Linked DNA regions of Ovis aries. The protein of the gene in region 3 purifies or fractionates together with the protein of the main gene of each other region. This does not show direct contact. Links are inferred from orthologs where the notes say so. Each region holds a gene or a part of one and is shown on either strand. Other genes may lie near its edges.

The links.
Region 1: the proteins of HMGXB4 (region 3) and C11H17orf49 purify together in Homo sapiens (affinity purification with mass spectrometry; 4 studies listed by BioGRID and IntAct, with this or other methods). This does not show direct contact. The link is inferred for Ovis aries from reciprocal best matches to the Homo sapiens genes HMGXB4 and BACC1.
Region 2: the proteins of HMGXB4 (region 3) and SMARCA5 purify together in Homo sapiens (affinity purification with mass spectrometry; 3 studies listed by BioGRID and IntAct, with this or other methods). This does not show direct contact. The link is inferred for Ovis aries from reciprocal best matches to the Homo sapiens genes HMGXB4 and SMARCA5.

Annotation. Positions count from the first base shown.
Region 1 is NC_056064.1:26,689,217-26,693,294, forward strand, and holds C11H17orf49 (chromatin complexes subunit BAP18), read left to right. Parts: upstream 1-1,258; 5' UTR 1,259-1,322; coding exon 1,323-1,343; intron 1,344-1,528; coding exon 1,529-1,623; intron 1,624-2,246; coding exon 2,247-2,348; exon of another isoform or gene 2,349-2,475; intron 2,476-2,734; exon of another isoform or gene 2,735-3,023; coding exon 3,024-3,214; exon of another isoform or gene 3,215-3,441; coding exon 3,442-3,546; exon of another isoform or gene 3,547-3,753; coding exon 3,754-3,818; 3' UTR 3,819-4,027; downstream 4,028-4,078. Other genes in the region: RNASEK (ribonuclease kappa), read left to right, coding at 1-46, 613-754. UniProt on the Homo sapiens protein: Component of chromatin complexes such as the MLL1/MLL and NURF complexes.
Region 2 is NC_056070.1:14,460,740-14,464,850, reverse strand, and holds the start of SMARCA5 (SWI/SNF-related matrix-associated actin-dependent regulator of chromatin subfamily A member 5), read left to right. Parts: upstream 1-1,291; 5' UTR 1,292-1,511; coding exon 1,512-1,688; intron 1,689-4,111. UniProt on the Homo sapiens protein: ATPase that possesses intrinsic ATP-dependent nucleosome-remodeling activity.
Region 3 is NC_056056.1:179,123,062-179,127,373, forward strand, and holds the start of HMGXB4 (HMG domain-containing protein 4), read left to right. Parts: upstream 1-1,460; 5' UTR 1,461-1,520; intron 1,521-1,971; exon of another isoform or gene 1,972-2,035; 5' UTR 2,036-2,105; coding exon 2,106-2,145; intron 2,146-4,312. UniProt on the Homo sapiens protein: Negatively regulates Wnt/beta-catenin signaling during development.

The DNA.
Region 1 (4,078 bases), on a different chromosome or scaffold from region 3:
CTGCTGTGTTAATTGAAGACGTCCCCTTCACGGAGAAAGATTTTGAGTAAGTGGAGAGGCAGGGGATGTGGTCAGAATTGGGGGCGGAGAATCGCAGGAGGCTAGACGCTTGGGCCGCGGTGGCTGGGAAACGGTGCTCTCTCTAGCACCCGGGAACAGTCTTGGGAGTCAGACTTCAGAGACCATCCTAAACCCACCGCTTTAAATGTGGCTGTTAAGAATTTTACTGGTGCTCGCTTCGGCAGCACATATACTAAAATTGGAACGATACAGAGAAGATTAGCATGGCCCCTGCGCAAGGATGACACGCAAATTCGTGAAGCGTTCCATATTTTTTGAGGATGCTCATAACACCTCCTTTATAGGGCTGTTATGAAAAATAAATCAGTTAATTCATAGAAAAAAAAAAAAGAATTTTACTGGATTTCTCTGTGCCTCCGTCCACCCCTGCAAAGTGGATGCTATAACAGAACTCTCCCCCAAAGGGTTATGAAGATTGAATAAGATAATACACATTAAAGCGTTTAGAAGGGTACAGGGCACATAGTAAGTGTTCCGTAAATGTGTGCTGTTAATGTTTCTGATATTTCTCTGCCTAATCCCCACCCCTAGGAATGGCCCCCAGAACATATACAACCTTTACGAGCAAGTCAGCTACAACTGTTTCATCGCGGCGGGCCTTTACCTCCTCCTCGGAGGCTTCTCTTTCTGTCAAGTTCGGCTCAATAAGCGCAAGGAATACATGGTGCGCTAGAGCACAGTGGCGCTCCCCCTCTCCAGCCCCCTCCTCTATTTAAAGACTCTCCCCAGGTCACAGCCCCCCGCCTCCCATTCTGGTGCCCTCTGCGGACTAGGTTTTCTTGGCGAGAGACTCAATCCCTTGTTCTCCAACCTCTGGCGCCCGGCTTCTGTGGAGGGAGGTTGGGGTTGGCCGTTCCCTGTCCCTCCGGCCCTCTCGCCTCGTCCCGTTCCACAATAAAGAGAAACTGCTCTCTTAAGACTTGTGTGTGTGTCTGGGTTAGGAGGCGGGTACCCGGGCTAGAGGTCGGTCTCCAAATAGGGAATCCCGACCCCTAGACGGAAGTGGAGTGAAACCGGGCCGGAAGTGAGGCGGTGTCTTCCACTCTCCTTCCCGCGCGCTGAGGCGGCCTGAGTAACCGCGGCTGGTGAGGCGGTGAGCGCCCGAACTGGAGCCAATCAGCTGCGGGAAGGGGCGGGACTTCCTGCGCGGGGGCTGGAGCCGTTGCACCGCCTCGCTCTTCGCGGTCCCGGCTCCGAGGTAGCGGCGGCGGCGGCGTCTCCGTGAGGAGGCGCGCGGGGCCATGACGTCAGCGTCCACAAAGGTTCGACCTCCCTCGCGGACAGCGCTCCCTGGCGGCCACGGGAGGGCGGGCCCCCCAGTTGGCTCGCGGCTCTTCCGTCCCGGGCGGGGGGCGGGCGGGAGTCCAACCTGGGGTGGGGCTAGGGGCTCCGGGCGGGACGGCGCGGGGCTGTGCGCCGGCCCCCCGTAACGCTGCCCCGCCCCCAGGTCGGAGAGATCTTCTCCGCGGCGGGCGCCGCCTTCACGAAGCTCGGAGAGCTGACGATGCAGCTGCATCCCGTGGCCGATTCTTCCCCCGCGGGGTACGTGAGCCCGGGCTGGGGACCTGGACGCTGAGATCAGACGCTGGGACTCGATCACAGACACCGACACTCTCTAGGGCAGGGACAGATGTTAGTTTCCCTTCGTGCCTGGCACAGCGCAGAGTAGATCTTAATAAATGATTATTGAATGAATGAATGACAGATAAACCACAGACTGAGGCTCGTAATCTGGACTCATTTTACAATTCTGTCCTGCTGCGCATTGGCAGAGCATAGACCATCACCACTACCCATTCACCCCAAATCATGTGGGATTCCATCAGATTGCAACAGATTGTGTTTAGGGGGTCTGTTGGTAAGACACCCCCCCACTTGTTGAATTAGTTTCAGTGGGCTGTTTACAGTAGCTGTTTCACGTTGATGGGGGAGCCGTTTTCTTCTAAGGTTGTTGCATTATCGTTTGGATGGGGGTCCTCAGGGTTCCCACAGGGCCTTAAGAATTTTTTTGCTTTTTTTGTTTGTTTTTTAAAGAGGACCTCTTTATGGAAGGGGCCCCGGACATTGCAGGGAGGAGGCTGGTTGCTGTGGAATGCGTAGCCTGTGGGCTGGCTCCACATCCCTCCTCTTCCCACTTTCGCTATTCCCCTCTCCCCTTCTGACAGTGCCAAGTGGACGGAGACGGAGATAGAGATGCTGAGGGCTGCTGTGAAGCGATTTGGGGACGATCTTAATCACATCAGCTGTGTCATCAAGGAACGGACAGTGTGAGGGAGGGCTGGCTGGCAGAGAAAGGGCGGGTGGGCAGCTTTCTTCCTCCATACCCATTTGTTCCATCTTCCTCAAACTCCCTTCCAGCTCAACATCTTTCCTACTCTGTGAGTCCCTTGAGAACTGAAAGAATAAAAGAATTGTCACAATTGGTCAGAAGTTACTAAAATGCTGTGGTCATCAGGACCTTACATGAATTTAATTTTAGGTTACCCAGTAGTTTAAGATACCCAATAGTTGAATTTGCTAATAGGAATTCCCTGGTTATTTATACAGATCTTTTGAACACTCCTGTGGTGTTTCCAGGGATATTATGATCCTGAACTAGTCGATCAGGATCTGTTAATAAGTTTCAATCTACCTGTAGGTCACCCAGGCTTACCTGGTAGTCTTCCACGTCCATACATCTCTCCCAAAAGAGAATTAGGGGGTGGGCCTTTCCCACTCCTCAGTTGAGGGACTCCACTCTTCACGCTCCATTTGCCCTCATTGGCTGCAAAGCTTCCAGGAAAACAAGAACCCTAGCAAAGGTCGTTGAGGCCCTCACCTGGATTCCTATGAAGGGGCTCCCCAGTGTTCCTTCAGAGTGGCCCATCTCCCCTGCCCCCACCCCCTTATTCTCTCAGCCTTTTTTATGACTCCCTTCCTAACTTGCTCTCTCGTCTCTTTAGGGCTCAAATAAAGGCCACTGTGAAACGAAAGGTATATGAAGATTCTGGTATCCCCCTTCCAGCCGATTCACCCAAGAAAGGGCCCAAGAAGGTGGCATCTGGTGTATTGTCGCCTCCTTCAACTGCTCCTCCACCAAGCAGCTCCAGTGTCCCTGAGGCCGGGGGTCCCCCCATAAAGAAACAGAAGGCTGGTGAGGGCTGTGGAGTTGCTGCCTGGGGATTAGATGTCCCATCCGCGGTTCAGTGAGAGAGTTGGGCTTTGGTCAGAGGACAGATCTCTTTTCCTCTCCCAGTGAAGGTTCCAGAAACTGGCTGGGGTGGGGAAGGGAGGGAAGGAGAAGTTGAAACTTTGGGAAGTGGGTGGGGTGGGGGGAGAACCATCAGGGAACCTAGAACCTAGCTTGTGCCCCCCTCCCAGATGTGACACTCAGTGCTCTGAACGACTCGGACGCCAACAGTGACCTGGTGGATATTGAGGGGCTAGGAGAAACTCCTCCAGCCAAGAAACTCAACTTCGACCAGGGTAGGAGTCCTCTTCCTCCCACAACAGCTGAAGGGATGGGGGATGGTAGGGAGGGTCTCAGCAGGAGCCCCCTCCTGTGAACTGGGGAAGAGAAAGTTCCCTGCTATGCATGCAGGGGTCAGGTCTGTAAGGAGCCAGGTGCTCTGGGGAAGCGGGAGTCCTACTTGGGACTCGCTCCATCTCGGCCCATTTTACTTCCTGTTCCAGACAGCCTGACCCTGGATTCTGGCCTTCTCTTGACCTCCGCTGATCCTCCTCTGCTCTCATGCTGAGCCTTCCACCTCTGACCCCTCTCACTGTTCACCCTGGACCTGTGGATCGCTTGGGACTCTGAGCAAGGCCTGCATGTGACAGGGTGGAAAGGCTGCCAGGGGCAGCCCACCTTGCTGTTCCCGTATGAGCATCTGCACCCCAACCCCTGGGTCCCCCCCCGCAACTGATGGACGTTTTTATACAGAAAACAATAAAGATCTCCCTCTCAGCCTGGTGCTTTCCGCCTGACATTACGGGAGTATGGGGGACACTTCTCTCT
Region 2 (4,111 bases), on a different chromosome or scaffold from region 3:
ATGGGCTGGGGGGCATTTTTCCAGATCTCAACTTAAAAATTATCATTTGATCAGTTAAAAGTTTGCAGGCTACAGATTCAAAGGAGAGCTCTTCTATTTGAAATTCAACATAATCAACAGTTTGCTCAAATCTTAACTCTTGAAAAGTGTGTCTCCGCTATTCAATACATACTGATAGAATACTGGATATGGGGATACAAAGATGGATAAGAGCCTGTGCAGGGCAGATAACAATTCACAGCAGTACGATTTTCTATTGAGTAGAACACGATGTTCTTGATAACCTGCAGCAGATCCGTGCGCAAGACCCACAGGCTATGTTGAGGACAGTGGAAGGCGTAACCACTGGAAATTATTCGAAGTATTTCTTAAGGAGAAAGAAATGCACAGCAGTCTGTACATTTTAATATTTAGTGGTTGAGCAAAAGATACAGCCCATGGCCTCTCTTATCTACCGATTATCTATGACTCTTATCTATGACTCTCATTCACATGGTGATGGGCAGTTTGCTTATGTTTAGCACGTAAATTCAGAGAAAATATCGTTTAACTCTGTAAGAGAAGTAGAAGGAATTTAGAAATGATTCTTATAGCTAACGTGTAGACAAAAAAATATTACACCAACGGGCCCTTTTGTTTAGACAACAAAACCTAAGAGACGTCAACTGGGATAACTAAACCATCTTCAACACATTGGCGTCACACCTATGAGCGGCGGCAGCGAAAGTGTTAAGGCCTGCACAGGCCTCTATACTGCAGTAGGCGGCGCAAAACCTGGGCAAGTTTTCTGGGAGTGCCGCAGATCCCTGCCAAGCAGAGCAGACCAGGCGCCGGTGGACCCTGAGCCGTTAAGAACGCCTGGAAGACAGCGCTCGCGTCATGCCGGGAAGCCGACGGACAAACCTACGTCTCCAATCTCTCCCTCGAGGCCCCGCCCATTCCTTACCCAAGAGCTCTCTGGGGCCTCGAAGGAGGCGTGGCCCAGGGCAAAGAGGGGAGAATGCGCATGCGCACTCGGAGCCCAGTCATGTAGCCAACTATCAATCTCGCGAGTGTTGATAGTCGGTGGCGTAGGTAGTAGAACTGAGTGCTGGCGAGATAGATGATATCTACCAGAGGAAGAAGAGGAGGCAGCTAAGCCAGTTCCCAGTCTCTGTCCCTCCTTTGCTTTCCTTTCTTTTTCCCTCAACCCTCCGCCCTCCTGTGAATCAGCCCGCCTTCCCTGACCTCAGTGACCCGAGTGGCCCCGCCCACTCTCGTCGACGTGATTCCCGCCGTGGGGTAAAGCGCCGGTCGAACCCGGAGCCCCGCGGAAGAGGAGGGCGACCAGAGGGGGAGGTTGCTGGGCCTGGTTTGGGCTCGTCGCCGAGCCGCGGCGCAGGGGGCTTTCGGGTAGTCCTCTCGCTTCTCCATCTGCTCGTTGCGACGCAGCCACCCAGGCCTAGGCCTCCTCCTCCTCCTCCCTGCCGGACCCGGCCTCTGGCAGCAGCGGGTGACGCAGACGGAACATCATGTCGTCCGCGGCCGACCCTCCGCCACCCCCGCCTCCCGAGAGCGCGCCTTCCAAGCCCGCAGCCTCGGCCGCCGGCAGCGGGAGCAACAGCAGCAACAAAGGCGGCCCCGAGGGCGTCGCAGCCCAGGCGGCTCCCTCCGTGGCCAGCGCCGGCCCCGCGGACTCGGAGATGGAGGTGAGGGCGGCTCGTGGTGTGGAAAGAGGGCAGGATGGGGAGGAGGAACTGGTTCCCTCGCCTCTGTACTAGTGATGAGACGCAGAGCCAAACTTCACCCCTTCGCACTCCAACACGGCCTCAGACCGTTTGGGTCGGAAATGATGCTCTCACCCTTGCGCGTAAGCAATCCAGGCAACCTCAAGTGGATTTCTGGCACTTCACGTTTATATTATTTGTCTCTTTGGCGAACCTTGCCAAATCCTCGAACGCTCTTATTAGACACATGTTCTTGATTACTGAGGCCGAGTGAAGATCTACCCTTTTTTTTTTTTTTTTTAAGCTGGACTCCCATAATTCCCTCGCTCATCTCTGAATCTCGATTTTACTTTCCGCTAAACTTGGGGAGAGGGCGAGGGAAATTTCCCTCTAGGTACGGGGGTAGACAGGCGGGGTGGGGAAGGCATTTAAAAGCAGCGCATCCGAGGGCTTGGGCCTCCTTTTCTTCATCCCGTTCTTTGCGGGGGCGGTATCTGTTTCGCAGAAACAATGGCGAGGGCTGGATGGCCGAGGGCGCAGTGGGGATAAGCGGGGCACAGCTGCTCCCTCGGAGGGAGAGGAGGCTCCTCCCAGGCACTGTTCCGTGGGGAAGGGAAGCGACCACGGCGGCAGCAGCTGTCTTGAACCCCCATTTCATTTTGTGGGGGGAGTGATGGATGGATGGATGAATGAATTAGTGAGTGAGGGGCGGTTAGTTTGCTTACAGACCAGCGCATTTCCTCTTTGGGGGCCTTGGCCTTATTTTGAAAATTGGTACCGTTCTCTATGGCTCCCTACCTTCTGGGCTGGGGCTGGTGGGTCAGGGAATGGTAACAGTACTGCGAGGGTGGAGAGATTGGGGAACTGCCAGGCGGGTCTTTTGGGTGTGCTCCAAGGTTTTGCGATGTCTGGGAACAAAGTGTTGCTTGCTCCTTCCAATTTTATTCTTGGCCTTCGATCTGTTTTGAGATATTTTATAGTCGCAACCCAGAGATTTCTGGAATTTTTCCATCCTTGGATAGATTGAGCAAAGGTAATACTGCTCTGAAAGGGAATGTTGCTGCAGAATTAACACGATAAGGAAATGGCAGGGCAGTTTACCATAGAGCATTTGGCTCAGTAGTTTTATTTGGGTGCTGTACTAGGTCATAAGTCAGTTCAGTGGAGTCCTACTCTGTGTAACTAGCGGCCTTATCTAGGGTGAGGTAACGTGTTATTAGTTTTTGAAAGAACTTTAAAGGTAAGGGTGGGTTTTGGTGGAATAGGACCTCTGGTATTCTATAGCTTTCAGCGACTTGAAATTTGTTTTCAGTTCATGTCAGTGTTGCTTGTTTTCTTTTTCTTTAGGTTTTAAATGATTGTTTTGAATTGCTAGGGTTAACTTGGATTCCCGCTTCCTTGTTTAAGGGGCTTTGAAAGTTTGACACTGAAAGCAGTTGTGTTAAATACGCAGTTCTCAGGGCTTCCCAGGTGGCGCTAGCGGTAAAGAACCCGCCTGCCAGTGCAAGAGACAAAAGAGACGCGGGTTCGATCCCTGGGTTGGGAAGATCCCCTGGAGGGGAGGCATGGCAACCCACTCCAGTGTTCTTGCCTGAAGAATCCCATGGACGGAAGAGCCTGGCGCGCTACAAAGAGCCTGGCGAGGTGGCAGAGTCAGACAAAGCTGAAGCGACTGAGCACGAACCGCGCTTCTTTGCAAATTGCTGTCCACTGTTGTCAGCCTCTCAAAAGAGGCTATCATTCGAATTTTGGAGTAGCAGCCAAAGTCTCAGTCTCACTAGAAGTGTTAAGGAAATATCAGAAAGCGGAATAATTTAAAGCCTAAACTAAATGTTTTGCCTTTCAGTTGCTGTTTTTAAGGTGAAGTGGAATTAGAGTTTAACTATGAACAGTAATGTTGTAACAAGTACCAGCTGACTGTCAGTAGTATTTTTGCCAGATGGGGAAATTGAGTCTTCTTGTAAGTAGAATCTGTGATAGAACCCACATCTGGCTCTGAAGCTGACCCTTCCCCGAATATCTTTCCCTGTCATATTTTTACCAAAAATGTGTTGTTTAACAATTTCATTTATTGAAAAATGGCTTCATTATTTTTCCTTTTCTCAGGATAGTAACATCAGTGATTTTATCTTTTACCAGTCTTTTCACTGACTAGTTTTTGTTTTTTTCCTTCATATTATAGTATGGTTTTTTGTTTGTTTGTTTTTAAGCTGCATTTTTCCAAAATCATTTATTTTCTGACAAAGCCCACTTTCCTAGGAACATTAGTTAGCTTTCCTATGTATTAGGTTATTTCTTTTTTTTTTTTGCTTGGTATTGGTAGGTCATGGGAGCAGTCACATTTTTTAATTAGTATGATCTTTTTGGCAACCTGAATGGGGCCTGTCTTGGTTCATTCTCATTTC
Region 3 (4,312 bases):
TTTTTCTGGGCTCCAAAATCACTGCAGATGGTGATTGCAGCCATGAAATTAAAAGACGCTTGCTCCTTGGAAGGAAAGTTATGACCAACCTAGACAGCATATTAAAAAGCAGAGACATTACTTTGCCAACAAAGGTCCATCTAGTCAAGACTATGGTTTTTCCAGTAGTCATTTATGGATGTGAGAGTTGGACTATAAAGAAAGCTGAGCGCAGAAGAATTGATGCTTTTGAACTGTGGTGTTGGAGAAGACTCTTGAGAGTTCCTTGGACTGCAAGGAGATCCAACCAGTCTATCCTAAAGGAGATCAGTCCTGGGTATTCATTGGAGGGACTGATGTTGAAGCTGAAACTCCAGTACTTTGGCCACCTGATGCGAACAGCTGATTCATTGGAAAAGACCCTGATGCTAGGAAAGATTTAGGGCAGGAGAAGGGGATGACAGAGGATGAGACGGTTGGATGGCATCACCGACACAATGGACATGGGTTTGGGTGGACTCCAGGAGTTGGTGATGGACAGGGAGGCCTGGTGCACTGCAGTTCATGGGGTCACAAAGAGTCGGACACCACTGGGCGACTGAACTGAACTGAGATGCCATTCTATATCTCTATACTCCCTGCTCCACAGAAACTATGACACTAGCTTCTGCTTAGGCTTCTTCAGGGAGCTCACTACCTTACAAAGTAGTCAAACATAACTGAACTGCGCTGGAAAAATTAATTCGTCTTCATACTGAACCAAGAGCTGCACACTGTAACTTCTACCCATTGATCTAAATTCCCCAGAGCAAAATGGGGAAAAAACAAAACACTTTCCTTCCTTTGTGTAGCAACTCTTCATTTCTCTGAAAACTGTTTCTAACTTTGAAATGCAAACGATTTATGGGGAGAAATGCAGATGACTTGCCATGCAAATTATTTTTCAGTGCATTGTTATAAAGATATATTCTGCCTACCTCATCCCAAATACGCCAGTCATCTAAATGCAGATGCTAAATTCCAGACAAGCAGCACTGGTATTAATCTGCACGACTTTGCAAAGACAAGAGTTATTGTATAAAAATATATTGAAGGAAACAGCAGAGTCTTTTGGAAAGAGCACTTCAGTAAGAATCAGAACTCTTAGAAGTGGCTGGTAGCCTGTCTTGCACTCCAACTACCTGTGTATCCTTGGGCAAGTCACTTAACCCCTCCCTCTGAACCCCATTTCTGATCTGTAAAATGTGACAGAACCTACCTCACAGAGATGCAGTGAGGATCAAATGCCGTCCTGTTCGTAAAGCTTCTAGCCCAAGCCTGACACAGGACAAATTCTTATTACAGACTAGCTCTGGGGCTCAGCAAGCCCAGCGTCTCATTCGATGCGCTCGGCGCTCTTGCACCAGCGGGATTCCCCTTCCCAAGCAGAGTCTGCGCTCTGGGCTCGACTGAGGCTCCCTGGTCGCTCGCGCTTTTCTCTCCTTCTCCAAGATGGCGGCGGTCGGCGGCGCTGAGGCGGGATCCGGGCGAGCCTAGTGAAGGTAGCGGCGAGCGGAGCCCCCACGAGGCCGAGCTAGGCCCCCACCCCCAGGCGGCAGCGGCCCCGCCCCGCCGCCACCCGCCGCCTCGGGCCGCGACACCGCCCCGAGAGCGCCCCGGGCCCTTCGCGGCCTAGCCCAGGGGCCGAGCCGGGGACTGGAGTAGCGGCCGCAGTCCGCCCCCGGGAAGGGGCTGGAGCGGGCCGAAGGAGGAAGGCGGGCGGGAGCTGTTCAAATGGGGAAGGCGGGAAAGTGCGGGCCGGGAGGGGGCGTGCGGCCGCCCCGGGGGCCCGCGGGCCGAGGCCGCCCCTCCCCCTGCCCGGCCGTCTCCGCCCTCGGGGGCGCCTGGAGCCGCCGGGACGCGGGAACCCGGGTCGCGGCCGCCTTGCGGCTCAGGACCTGGAACACAGGGTCCCCGGGCTGTCAAGGGGCAAGGGAGCCGGGGTGACGGGAGGGCCGGGGCGCGGCTGGCAGGAGTGGATGCGACGAGCTTTCTTTTTTTTCCCCTCTTCGCCCAGCTTTGTTGAACTAGCTGTTGCTGCAAAACTGCCAAGAGAATCCCGTTGGTTTGCCGTGGGGACCACAAAAATGGTGGTCTTGGGGGCTCTTTGTAGCAATAACCTGTGTGGTATGTAATCTTTGCGTGCGACCCAGTTTGAACGTGCCTTCCTTAGTGGGATCTGCTCCATCCAGACCCATTTCCCCCCCAAAGCTGTTGCTAGTAGATTTCACTTAATTTTTCTATCGGGCAGAAGAGGAGAACCATCTTATCTCTCTGCTACCTGATGGCTAAGTTGGTTGCTGATTATATTACCCCATAGCAGAATTTAAAAACAAAAACCACTGAATCTAGAGTAGAGCCTGTTGATTGGATAAGGCTTGTCAAAATTTGTACCGCTGGGTTTTTTTGGAAATGTGTGTTGTCAGCAGATCTGTGTGGTGGTCGTGGTTCCGCTCAATTGCATCCCAATGAGAGGATTCAATCCCCAACCCTGGCTGCCGGGATCTCTGCAGTTTCCAGAGCTGGCAGGGGCTGTGAGTGCTGCATAGGTAGGTTCTTGGAGAAGGGAGTGGCAAGAATTCCGAGTCTCTGCGTCCTGAGATTGGAGGAAATTTGGGCGAAAATGAGAAGGCATCCCCTGCTCCTATCCTCAAAGTAACAACAGCAGCAATTCAGAAACTGGCAACAGCTGTATGTGCATCTTCCTTTTCCTGCACCGACTGGCAGCTTGAGTTCCTGAAAGAAGGGCTGGAAGAAGAGAACGTGGATCTTGAAAATCTTGAACAAGACTTGCCTCTTGAACTGGACCCGCGCCTCAGGACTTCGCGTACTGCCTCGGGTTTCCGAGGCTTTCTTTGTCTTTTTCAAAACACACTTACATTTTGGGATGAAGAAGCTTGCTAGTGAATGCTGGGGCTGAGATGACCTCAAAACACCATCTTCTGAAACTTTTTTTCCAAAGTACTTTTAATTTAGGCTTTCAAAATAACAAAGTACTATGTCTGATGATTTCCCCTTTTTTCCTGATTGCTTTGATAACTCCGAAAGCAAAGCCTAAACATCACCCTATACTTACCTACAAGTGGAAGAGTAGCTCTGTCTCCTTTTTCATCTCTTGAAGAGAAGTCCACAAGTTTGATAATTTTCACCTTCCAAAAGTACACATTTTTCATGATGGCATGTTTCTTACTTCCACAAACAACATAAATAATGAACTTTTACTTCTGTTGTCATTTCCTAACCCACTGAAAGGAACATAATTGTAAAATTATCCTGCCTCTTGAAGTTGACAATTTTGAATTCTGTACACACCAAAATTTATGGAGTTCCGGAGAATGAGCTTTAAACATCTAAATGAGTTTTTACATTTGCCAACATTTAATGTAATTATGGCCTCTATTTTCTAATGTGAATATCCAGCCTAATATTTTTCAATTTCATTAATCCTCACAATCTGCTGCCTAAGCCTGGACTCTGAATTTATCATGGATAATGTTCAAGACCTGGAAAGAACATCAGGAGAGTTATCTTATATAAATGTTGCCCTAACTTTGCCTTTCCTCCACACTGTTGCTTGAGACTTCTTTATCTGGTTTCATCTTCCTTCTATGAGTCAGCATCCAAAACTAACTCCTGGGTTGCAATAATATCCTCACTTGAAAGAACCTAGAAGTTCAGGGTCCATCAGTCTGCCCAAGCTGTGAGTGAGTGAGACCATTGTATCTAATTTTAGTTTTTTAAGCTCTTGACTGTCCCAGTTCTTTACTGAGTTGGACTTGCCTTCAGGCCCCGTTTATTTTTTACCATAGGTTATTTAATCTTGTAATTTATAAAATGCTCCTCCTGTGTCTTTAGAAAAATTAAATAATAGCAGACCTAATTGTAATACAAAATGCCAGCACCAGCACACGTTTTCTGTGCTGTTCTGTGCCTCTGAGGACCAGCCCCTAATTTTCTGTTCCCTCGTACAGTTTTTTCATCCACTGGTTGTTTTTCAAAGCAGTCAGTTAAGAGACCGTGAGTGCCTTTTCATAGTCCAGTAAGTGACATCATTGTTTTCTTTCTGGAGCTGTCTTCAGAGCTACTTATTCCTATTCTGACTGTTAGTTGTTCAGCTCTGTTTTATGTTAGTTTTGATATTTCCAAAGGGAAGGCCTGGTTATAAGTCTCAGGACCTGCCTTCACTTCATACAGAAGAGCATTTTGTTCTTGACCACAGATTGGTGGCCGCATTGGCGTTGAATATTTCAGATTTTTTTGCCTGTTATTTTTCAAAGGTTCTTAGCCAGAATCC